Linked DNA regions of Drosophila melanogaster. The gene in region 1 interacts genetically with each later gene. Each region holds a gene or a part of one and is shown in the gene's direction. Other genes may lie near its edges.

The links. Genes that interact genetically often act in the same process or in processes that back each other up.
Region 2: of larp (region 1) and spoon, changing one suppresses a phenotype caused by changing the other (phenotypic suppression), as found in Drosophila melanogaster (one study listed by BioGRID).

What each region holds. Positions count from the first base shown.
Region 1 is NT_033777.3:28,333,428-28,338,462, reverse strand, and holds the start of larp (La related protein), read left to right. Parts: upstream 1-2,022; 5' UTR 2,023-2,455; intron 2,456-2,921; exon of another isoform or gene 2,922-3,209; intron 3,210-3,755; 5' UTR 3,756-3,944; coding exon 3,945-4,754; intron 4,755-5,035. Other genes in the region: Gfat2 (Glutamine:fructose-6-phosphate aminotransferase 2), read left to right, coding at 1-593, 796-1,170. UniProt on the Drosophila melanogaster protein: RNA-binding protein that regulates the translation of specific target mRNA species downstream of the mTORC1 complex, in function of growth signals and nutrient availability.
Region 2 is NC_004354.4:5,417,322-5,422,345, reverse strand, and holds the start of spoon (spoonbill), read left to right. Parts: upstream 1-2,009; 5' UTR 2,010-2,107; coding exon 2,108-2,152; intron 2,153-3,249; exon of another isoform or gene 3,250-4,029; intron 4,030-4,971; coding exon 4,972-5,024.

The sequences.
Region 1 (5,035 bases):
TACCGGAGATCAAGCGCTGCCGCCGCTTGATGCTAATTGCGTGCGGCACATCCTACCACAGTGCGGTGGCCACCAGGCAGCTGCTGGAGGAACTGACCGAACTGCCCGTTATGGTGGAACTGGCCTCCGATTTTCTGGACAGAAACACGCCCATTTTCCGGGACGACGTGTGCTTCTTCATCTCCCAATCGGGCGAGACAGCGGACACCCTGATGGCGCTCAGATACTGCAAGCAGCGAGGAGCGCTCATCGTGGGCGTTACCAACACGGTGGGCAGCAGCATCTGCCGCGAGTCGCACTGTGGCGTCCACATCAACGCTGGACCCGAGATCGGAGTGGCCTCCACGAAGGCCTACACCTCCCAGTTCATTTCGCTGGTTATGTTCGCCTTGGTCATGTCGGAGGATCGTCTCTCGCTGCAACAGCGCCGCTTGGAGATCATCGATGGCCTATCGCAGCTGGACGAGCACATTAGGACTGTCCTCAAGCTGAACTCGCAGGTGCAGCAGCTTGCCAAGGAGTTGTACGAGCACAAGTCGCTGCTCATTATGGGCAGGGGCTTCAACTTCGCCACCTGTTTGGAGGGCGCACTGGTAATCCATTTGATAATTTGAGCTATAATTTAATCGAATCTCATTTATGCATCGTAATGCATGCATGGGAACGTAATGATGGAAAATAACCGATGTCAACAATTCACTTAACTTGTTTATTTGCCAAGTGCACTTAAATTAATTATTATGTTTGTCCCACGCTTCATGAGCTGAATTTAATCAATTAACTTGCTCATTGCAGAAAGTCAAGGAGCTGACGTACATGCACAGCGAAGGAATCCTGGCTGGAGAACTGAAACACGGACCACTGGCCCTGGTGGACAAGGAGATGCCCGTGCTGATGATCGTGCTGCGGGATCCGGTGTACACCAAGTGCATGAATGCACTGCAGCAGGTGACGTCCCGCAAGGGCAGACCGATCCTAATCTGCGAGGAGGGCGACAACGAGACCATGTCCTTCTCCACGCGTTCGCTGCAGATCCCGAGGACCGTGGACTGCCTGCAGGGCGTGCTCACGGTGATTCCGCTCCAGCTGCTGTCCTACCACATCGCCGTGCTCCGCGGCTGCGACGTGGACTGCCCCAGGAACCTGGCCAAGTCGGTGACCGTGGAGTAGGCGCCCCAACTATCTGGCTAACTGGCTCGCACCGTCTCAAGAATTCCATTTTAGTATCTGCCTGAGAAAAACAAAACAAACCCTAGCACTTAAGTTAAAATTTTCTGGTATTTTGTCGGATCAAAATCCGAACCCTTAACCCATTTGTGCTCCTTCTGGCTGAAGCCACATATGTTTAACCCCTACATTTGTAGCTGTACTGACCCTTTGTGTTGTGGACCCACTACTTTTTGTGAATGTGCAATTGAAATATAATTATTTCCAGTTTTTCTTTAAAAGTGTTTTGCTGCTTTCAATTAAAAATGGATTGGAAAATGTTTAACCAGTAAATTTGTTTGAAAACGGGAAAAACCAAACAAAGATCTATATGTACCTCACTTTACAAAAAATGCTTATCTGACATTAAACATTTGTTTCAAATGTTTAAAAAACGAGGGCCACGTCACGTTATTGCTTACGTTATGTTAATCACGTTGTAAATTTTAGAAAAAGAAAAATTACATATATATTTAATTCTGATAAAACTAAATAAAAATAAATTCTGATAAAAATAAATGATATTCCGAGCACTTAAGTAGTGTGAAATCGATAAGCCGCATAAATTTGAATGTCCTATTTTCAATTTCAAATCAAGTGGTAAATGGGGAAAAAATAAGTTTGTTCTCGAAAAGTAATTCTTTCTGGAAGATATTTCAAAATCATATTTAAAAACAACATTAAATAAATTAAATCAGTTGCGAGCCGGTTGGGACATCTCTATTAACCGTAGCTATCACATCGGTCGATATCTATCGCAACGCAACGCAAACGAATTGAACAACAACCCTGCTCTTTTTCTTTTGGACCCGTAGAACCACATGTCTGGTAACCGATTTTGATTTTCGTTTCGGCGGTATAATGCTCCAATTAATTGACTAATTGCGGTTAATTGACAAGACAAGTGAACGGCGCAAGTACGGTGCAACCAATAACGCAGCGAGTGTGTGTGCAATTGCGAAAAAACCCGATAAATAATATTCGTAACGTTCTGCCCAGCAGCGCGTGAGTGAGTGCGAGCGAGAGGCAGTGATTCGAGGTGCGTAGTGGTGCGAAAGTGTGTGTGCAAGGAAACCCGCAAAAGCAAAAGCAAAGCAACAATAACAACACACGCACGCACACACACACTTGTGTACGTGTTAACACGCGGAGCGGAAAGTGCGTAGTGAACATACGAAACGTACGAAACAAGAAGTGGGAGAGATAGCGGAATAAAATACAATTCTTGTTTCCATTTCAATCTCCTCTGGTGCGTATTCAAATCAATCTGAACCTTAACTTGTGTATGTGTGTGTGACCGCGTGCATCGTTTTGAAATTCGAGGCGAGCTGCAGTCGAAATCAGCTGTTTTAAAAGGCCCGACCAGGGCGGCACTAACAGCAATGCAGGCCGTTAGCCGAGTGCATTGGATATTGCATAATATTGGGTGAAGCGAAAACAGGGATATTGTGGTAGGCCACAGGGTATAATAAAACCAAATTGTAGCTATAAACGCAGTTTCTTTTATTTGCACCTTTAATTCGCTTCGATTTCCTGTCGTATTACCGGTTACGTTCAACGCCATGCCATTACGTTGTACTCCAGTTTGGCAAGTGGGCAGCTCGCTTTGCGGCAGCCCTGGTCGCTTAGCGTTGTGTTGCTGCTTCCTCTTCCTCTTGTGTGGGGCAAAAATCTAACCTCACTTCTTCTTCTTCTTTGGAACACTGCTGTGTGTGGCTGCTGCATAATAATATAATACCTCTCGATTCACGATTGGTCGTGCCTCGCAACGGATTTTCTCCGCTCGCCCAAACTGCAGTATATAATCGTGCAAAATCCGTGGCAGTAAATTCAATTCGCCGAGGAGCGTGACAGCTGAGGAAAATCGAGAAAACGGCCGCTGGGAGAGGCTTTTCCGATGGCCAGTTCCTAAAAAATCACCGCACTCCTCGGGAGGCTCTTCTGCAGTCCCACAAGAATAGTAATCCCCATTGCGAAAGCCCCAAGTTCAAAGTGCAGTGTATGTGCGTATGTGTGTGTGCTGTAATAGTTGCATTAAGTAAAGATGTAAATATTATTGCAGAAGGGCGAACTTGAGATTAATCGCCGTAATTGAGCAACAAACACCTCGCGTTCGCCCAACTCGCAATCTTGTTGGAAAATCCTAGTAGGCACAGTAAAGCTGGGCTTAGATGGCCATTCTTTAGTTTTAGTAAAGAGGTTTTAGTTTCCATTCCACTCTTTCTTTGCATTGGTATCAGTTTAATTTCAAAAGTCTATTTTTCTACGGCCAATAAGGCCATTAAAACTCGAGATGTTGACTTGAATTTATTAGCTCACTTAAAAGTTTAAGTTAATGCAAATTACTATACAAATTGCATTAGTATTGACCGCAGAATTGCCCTGAATAGTTCTATATGTAAATGACCCAAAACAGTCAAGCTTAGCTATAGTAACACTGCGTGGAAAAGTTATAAAATGACGTAATTGTAGTCTTTGGCCTGGATTTTCCTCTTGTTCCTACCAAACAGGCCTGTGAAAACTAATCCTTCTATTGCCAACCATTTCAGTTTGGAAGCCTATCTCTGGAGCCACCACATCCCGTTGAGCAGGCAAGGAAGCAGACAAGAGTTTCCCCAACCCGACAACGAGGATCAGCCGCTGACGTAGCCGGAGCAGGAGCAGCGAGTGTGCTGCCCACTCTGGAGAGGAAACCGGAGTCAAAGAAACAGCAGGAGTAGCAGCCGCAACTGAGGAGCATGTCCAGCAAGGAGGAGACGCCATCCACGGGAGGTGCCGCTCCTGTGGCCACTGTCGCCGCCTCGGGCAGCGCCACCACTTCCTACGCCAATGTGGTGCAGAACCTGGAGACCAAGAAGTCCGGCACCAGCAACACCACCACCACCACCGCCAGAGCCACCGTGGACAACAAAGAGAACCAGCCCAATCTGAAGAGCTTCAAGTCGTGGAGCGAGGAAGCCGCTGCCGCCGAGGCAGCCGGCGAATCGCCAATCGTCGGCAGCGTTAGCCTAGCCCAGACGGGTGAGAAGCGTGCCGCTGCCTCCGGTGGAGATAACACCGCCGAGAACTCATCGGAATTGGACGACAACAACGACTTCGTGCCGGTACTATCGCATCACCGCCGCGATCGCAAAAAGGCGCGCAAAGAGAAGCCGCGCGATCAGCAGCCGGCCGGAGGACGTGGCGATGGTCAGAAACCCCAGCAGGCTGGTGGCCGCCGCGTCCCCGGATCCTCCGACACCGAACGCAAGTCAGTGCGCCCACGTGCGCCGCGCGGCGGTAGTCCCCGCAAATCGGCAGCTGGAGCTGCTGGCGCAGCCGGATCCAATGCTGGAGCTGTGTCCTCCGCCGTTCCTGGTGGACCGAAAGTACACAAGGATCGCAAGGATACCTCGCCCAGTGCCAGCATCGAGGGAGCCGGCAGCAGCGGCAACGAGGCCAAGTCCGCCGACGGGGATCAGCAGGCGGGCGAGAAAGGCGCCGCTGGAGCAGCTCCGCCGCCCAAGCGATTCATTGCCGCCCCACCGCCCAAGGTCAACGCATGGAAGGTGAGTGATCAAATGATTGAATCTTTAAGTGATTGATTGTATTTTGGGGTATCTTGAATGGTAGGTTCATTAGGATAGGTTTTCATTAGAGTTGTTCAGGCATTGATTGGTATTCTTTGGATATTCCTAATTGGAAATCTTAATATATTCAAAAATCCAGAAGATTTAGAAGTGCACCGGAATAGAATTAGGTACATTTGCATTGACAAAAATTAGTTACTCGAACAAAACATTGGAAAATGCAAATGAAAAGCTTTGCTAAAATATAATCTAGTCAAAAG
Region 2 (5,024 bases), on another chromosome or scaffold:
TCGTCGCCCCGCTGCCAGCCAGCGAAATTGAGTGCCCCCGCTGTTTGACCACCCAAACATACATACATATATGTATTACCCTTTTTGCGATGATTTCTCGAAAATCCAAAGGACCCCGAACTCATACACGCACCCAACCAATCAAGCCCATACGCACGCACACATAGACACGAACTGTGATTACCCCCACACACATGCACAACAGGATCTGAGTAGTACCTTGAATTTACTCGCTGCGATATGCGTTGCACGTAAGCACACAACATATATGTTTTACAGCACTTTTATGCACTTTTTTTTATTCGTATATGCGTAAATAGAAAACGTGAACGACGTGACCAAGTGTGACCGTTGCTTATTTGGGTCGCAACTCCCGCGTGTGGTCAATTTCAAATTTTTAGGCTGTTGCTTCACCTCTCTGTTCGATGGCTTCCTCTTCTTCTGACCGCAATGGTATTCAAGTTTGGAACAACAACAATGTGCAAGTTCAAAGTCAGAAAATGACAAATAACCGAAAGGCACACAAAAAACAATCCTAAACATGTTTGCTTGCATGCCGAGACACGCACATACATCAATATTCATGTATAAACAAGCTTACAGTGTAGGAAATATAAAAAATTACAAAACTAGAACTGTGATTACCCACACACATGCACAACAAGATCTGCCTACTACCTTAAATTTACTCGCTGCGATATGTGTAGCACATGAGCACACAACATATATGTTTTATAGCACTTTTAGGCGCTTTTTATTCGTTTATGCGTAAATAGAAAACGTGAACGACGTGACCAAGTGTGACCGTTGCTTATTTTCGTCGCAAATCTCGCGTGTGGTCAATTTGAACCGTTGTCAGAAACTATAGGGTCTCGAAACATGTGCAAATAATTCATTTATATCATTCAACTTATGCTGCAAATAATTGCTATTATTATTATTTTAATTAATTATCCACACTGCTTATGTTCTTCGCTCAAACAGGAGGTAATTAAATCATTGAAGGGATTTCAAAAATCTATGTATGCATTCACTACTAACTAGCTTGGTCTTTTTTTTATTTTGCGCCGCTTTATAAATTTAAAAAAATATCATTTGGAATTACACACATCACTGTGTTAAATTAAAAAGAAGATTTTTAGTGATTGTTTTCTTTGAGATATTGAAGTCGCTATCTGCTCCTATATAAATATTATTTCGAAATTATCGATTTATAGTGCGCTATACTGACAAAAAATAGGCTGAAATTCGCATGAACAAGCATATTGTGGTAAGACAAAATGAAATCAGAACTTCCCAAGAACTACGTTGGAAAATTACAAATGCCCAAAAGTATTGCTCCACAAAATATCGTAACGAAATATCGCGAAATTTGCAACACTTTTGTGCACATTCGGTGGCAACGCCGCCTAAGAAAATACCTATTGCCCCAATCGATACCTATCGATGAGCGTGGGCAGCCCTGTTTGTGCATGTGCTGCCATTCGATTTGATAACCAGCACTCCGTGCACACGTTTTTCGGCTTTCTAGAAATAATTGGGCTGCGATTCAAACTGTGAAGTGATTTTTTCTATATTTTTTTTTTGTGTGCACAAAGGCTCTTGTAATTCGAGGATTTGGCCATCGCGAGTGCGGGTGATTAAGCAGGCAGCTCCGATTGCCAGAGTTTTGCGGATGCATGGCAACACTGCCGCACGCCGGCCATGTTATTGTGATTTGTAAAAGGTGGAACGTAGACACGTGTTTAATTCGTGCAGCACTTTAGCGTTGAGAAAACGACAGTAAATCGCCAGCAAATAAGCAAAAACAATACACAACTCGCGTGTGCAGTAGATAGCTTTGAAAGCACCCAAAGATAGTGAGCAAAATAAGTTACCCAAGCGGTTCACAAAGGTAAGAAATCGCAGCACGCGGAACATAACCTAGTACAAAAAAAGTGCGTGTGTGTGTTTGCCAAAACAGAGAGATGTGACGGAAAATGGTGTCATGTTCTGTTCTGTGTGGATTTGTTCCAATGTCCGTGTCTTGAGCTCTATTCGCACCTCTTTCCCGGTACCATAGCCAACGTTTTAACTACCTTTTTTTTGTCAACTTTTTGTTAAGTGTATGACTCTGCCTTGCCGCTGTTGTTGTTGTTCCGGCAAAGTGACAGTAAGTGGTTATGGAAAAAATTTGGAGTTCAATTCGGCGATTACACAATGACAGCACTCACACACACACACACCCACAATCGCACGCATACACATGCCGAGCATAAGTGCGTCTGTGTGTGTTACAGCTTTCACCGTTAATGTTCGGTTTTTTTACGCCTGAAAGAGAACAAAGGCGAAAAGGAGCTGCCACTCCCACAAAGAAAACATTGCGTCTATGCATACATACATATGTATACACATATAAAGTAGTATATCCCCCGATTATACAATCCCCGCCCATTTTTGGCCACCATATGATCGGAAACCACGTTGCCAAGATTATAACAATGTGGACTTTTTCGGCTAGCTGGCAATGTTGTTGCACCTGATTTGTTGTTGTTTTGGTGCTCTCTTCTGGCTTGCCTCTCTGTGTCGCTCATTCTCGCTTGTTCGGGGGAATTTCAAATTTTTAGGCTGTTGCTTCACCTCCCCGTTCGACGGCTTCCTCTTCTTTTGGCCGCACTGGTATTCGAGTTTGGAGCAACAACAATGTGCAAGTTCAAAGTCAGAAAATAACAAATAACCGAAAGGCACACAAAAAACATGCCTAAACATGTTTGTTTGCATGCCGAGACACGCAGACACATCAATATTCATGTATAAACAAGCTTACAGTGTAGGAAATACAAAAAAAAAATAACAAAAACTAGAAGACCATTGCGAAGTTGTTGTGCCCTTATCTTACATTTTGTCGTTTTAATTCAAGAGTTGATACGAATACGTGTAAAACTACACTTCTCCCTGCTCTTATGCATATCCATTTATTAAGAATTTTAGGCAAAATGTGGCAAGCTTTGTCAACAAGTTTTAATACTCTAAGCAAAGGGTATAAAACGTAATCTGAAAAATTCCCGTCACCCGGTTTCGACGATTAGGAAATGCCACAGCTGTCTGGCCAGTTGCCCTTCCATGGCCATTTTATAGCACCCCACTAGGCCCCTTATCCCCCACCCCCTGCATGCTCCCATCAACCGTTGATCTGTCGCTATATGTACATTTATACATATACATATGCATATACATATACATATGTACATACATACAATGTATGTTTGTGTTTCAGTTGCTTGTCGATTGAGCTTATCATCTGACCACTGTGTAACAGGAGGACCTTTGGGCCCTAACAAAGTGACGATATTGTGGATGGGGGGAAGCGGGAGTATAGTGGGTAAATCGGTTCTATAGTGAGTAACTTAAAAGTACTAAAGATCTCATGGCTTTAAACTACTGTTCGGCATGACTTGCACTTTTCGGGCCCCGGAAATTTTGACCAAATTCGAAGGAGCGTCTTACAATCCATTTGAATGGATTTTGATTAACGGTTTTCGGATTTCTTTGTTCTAATGAGCTCGCCACTCTCTTTTCTTCTCTCCGGCTTTCTGTCTCGTTTCCGCTTGGTGGGATGAGTGTGTGTGTGGGTGGAAAGGGGCGCTAAATAAAAACTTGCCACCACGCATCCTCTCTTTTTTCGCGGGTTGGTGGGGGTATGCCGATGCGGAAGAGCGGATGGAGTGAAGAGCGGAGAATCGGTGCCGAAATAAAAAAAATAATACAAATAAAAAGCCAGAGGAATTGGCAATTAGAAGGCGTGCAAAGTAGTTTCCCTTCATATATCGAGCAGTCGATATCTCGAATCTCTCGAACAATTTCGCCGGCATATCGAAACCCAACAAAAAAAGAAAGAAAATAAACAAAAGCATAGAAGAAACTCCAAAAAATAAGCCGAAGCGAATTGATGCCATAAAACGACATAAAATACAAACGAAACCGGAAGAAGCAACGAATTCAGTTTTATCCTAGTGGTAATACAAAAACACACATTTATTTTGTGAATAGGTGATGAATTTCTGGCAAAGCTGTTGTTTTCGTAACTTTTAGTTTTGTTTTGTAATGATTTCGTAACATTTGCCATTGCCATACGTAAACGTAACGGTTTCTTCTTGCGCCTCTCTTCCGTTCTTCGCCGACGCTCTTTTGCGTTCTTGCGCACGCGCTCTTTGCATGCGATCTATCGCTCCATCTCTCTCGCTCTCTCCCGTTGCGTTTTTCCCTTCCGCGTGGCATTCAAAAATCGCTTTGCACCTTTTTCGTCGTTCTCTCTCGTTGTCTCTCTCTCTCTCGGCATTTGTGTTGTTGTCTATATTTACGTATTTATTTGTTGCTATTAATACGCAAAAGTTCAGAAAGGAAAAAACCAAAATCAAACACACTGGCAAACACACACACACACACGCACACTTATGCAGACGAGCACATGCAGGCGGGTCTCGTGACTTGCAAAACCAATTCGAAACCTTTAAATAGGTTTTTTCAAATATAACAACATGCATATGTCGTTATTTAAAAAACAACGTTCATGTGGATGGTGTTGACAAATTAGCCCTTTAATCTCACACTTTTCTTCAAAATTGATTTCATATTTGAAATTCTCGCTTAAATTTAAACGCAAATTCAAAGCTCTTTACTTTGTTTTCAAAGTTATTCTACACAAAATTGCATATTGTGTACCGTTTCTTATCTTGAGCCATGACAAGCTTTTTAAAGTAATTATATACGACGCTACTTGATTTGTAAATTGTTGCCCTGATAAGAGGTGTTCACACATTATTTCCAATTGTAAATTAAACAACAAACCATAACTTTTCCAAATATTGCACAAACAAAAGCTACTTCATTTTTATTTCAGTATTAGTGTGATCAAAATAATCCTATTTGTGTGACAGTACACAAGTATATTTTCAAATCGCACAGACTAATATAACTTCTTCTCCCTTTCAGATCTTTCAATATTCAGCGAAAATGGTATCCGGTCGTCCTCTACTCTACCTCTC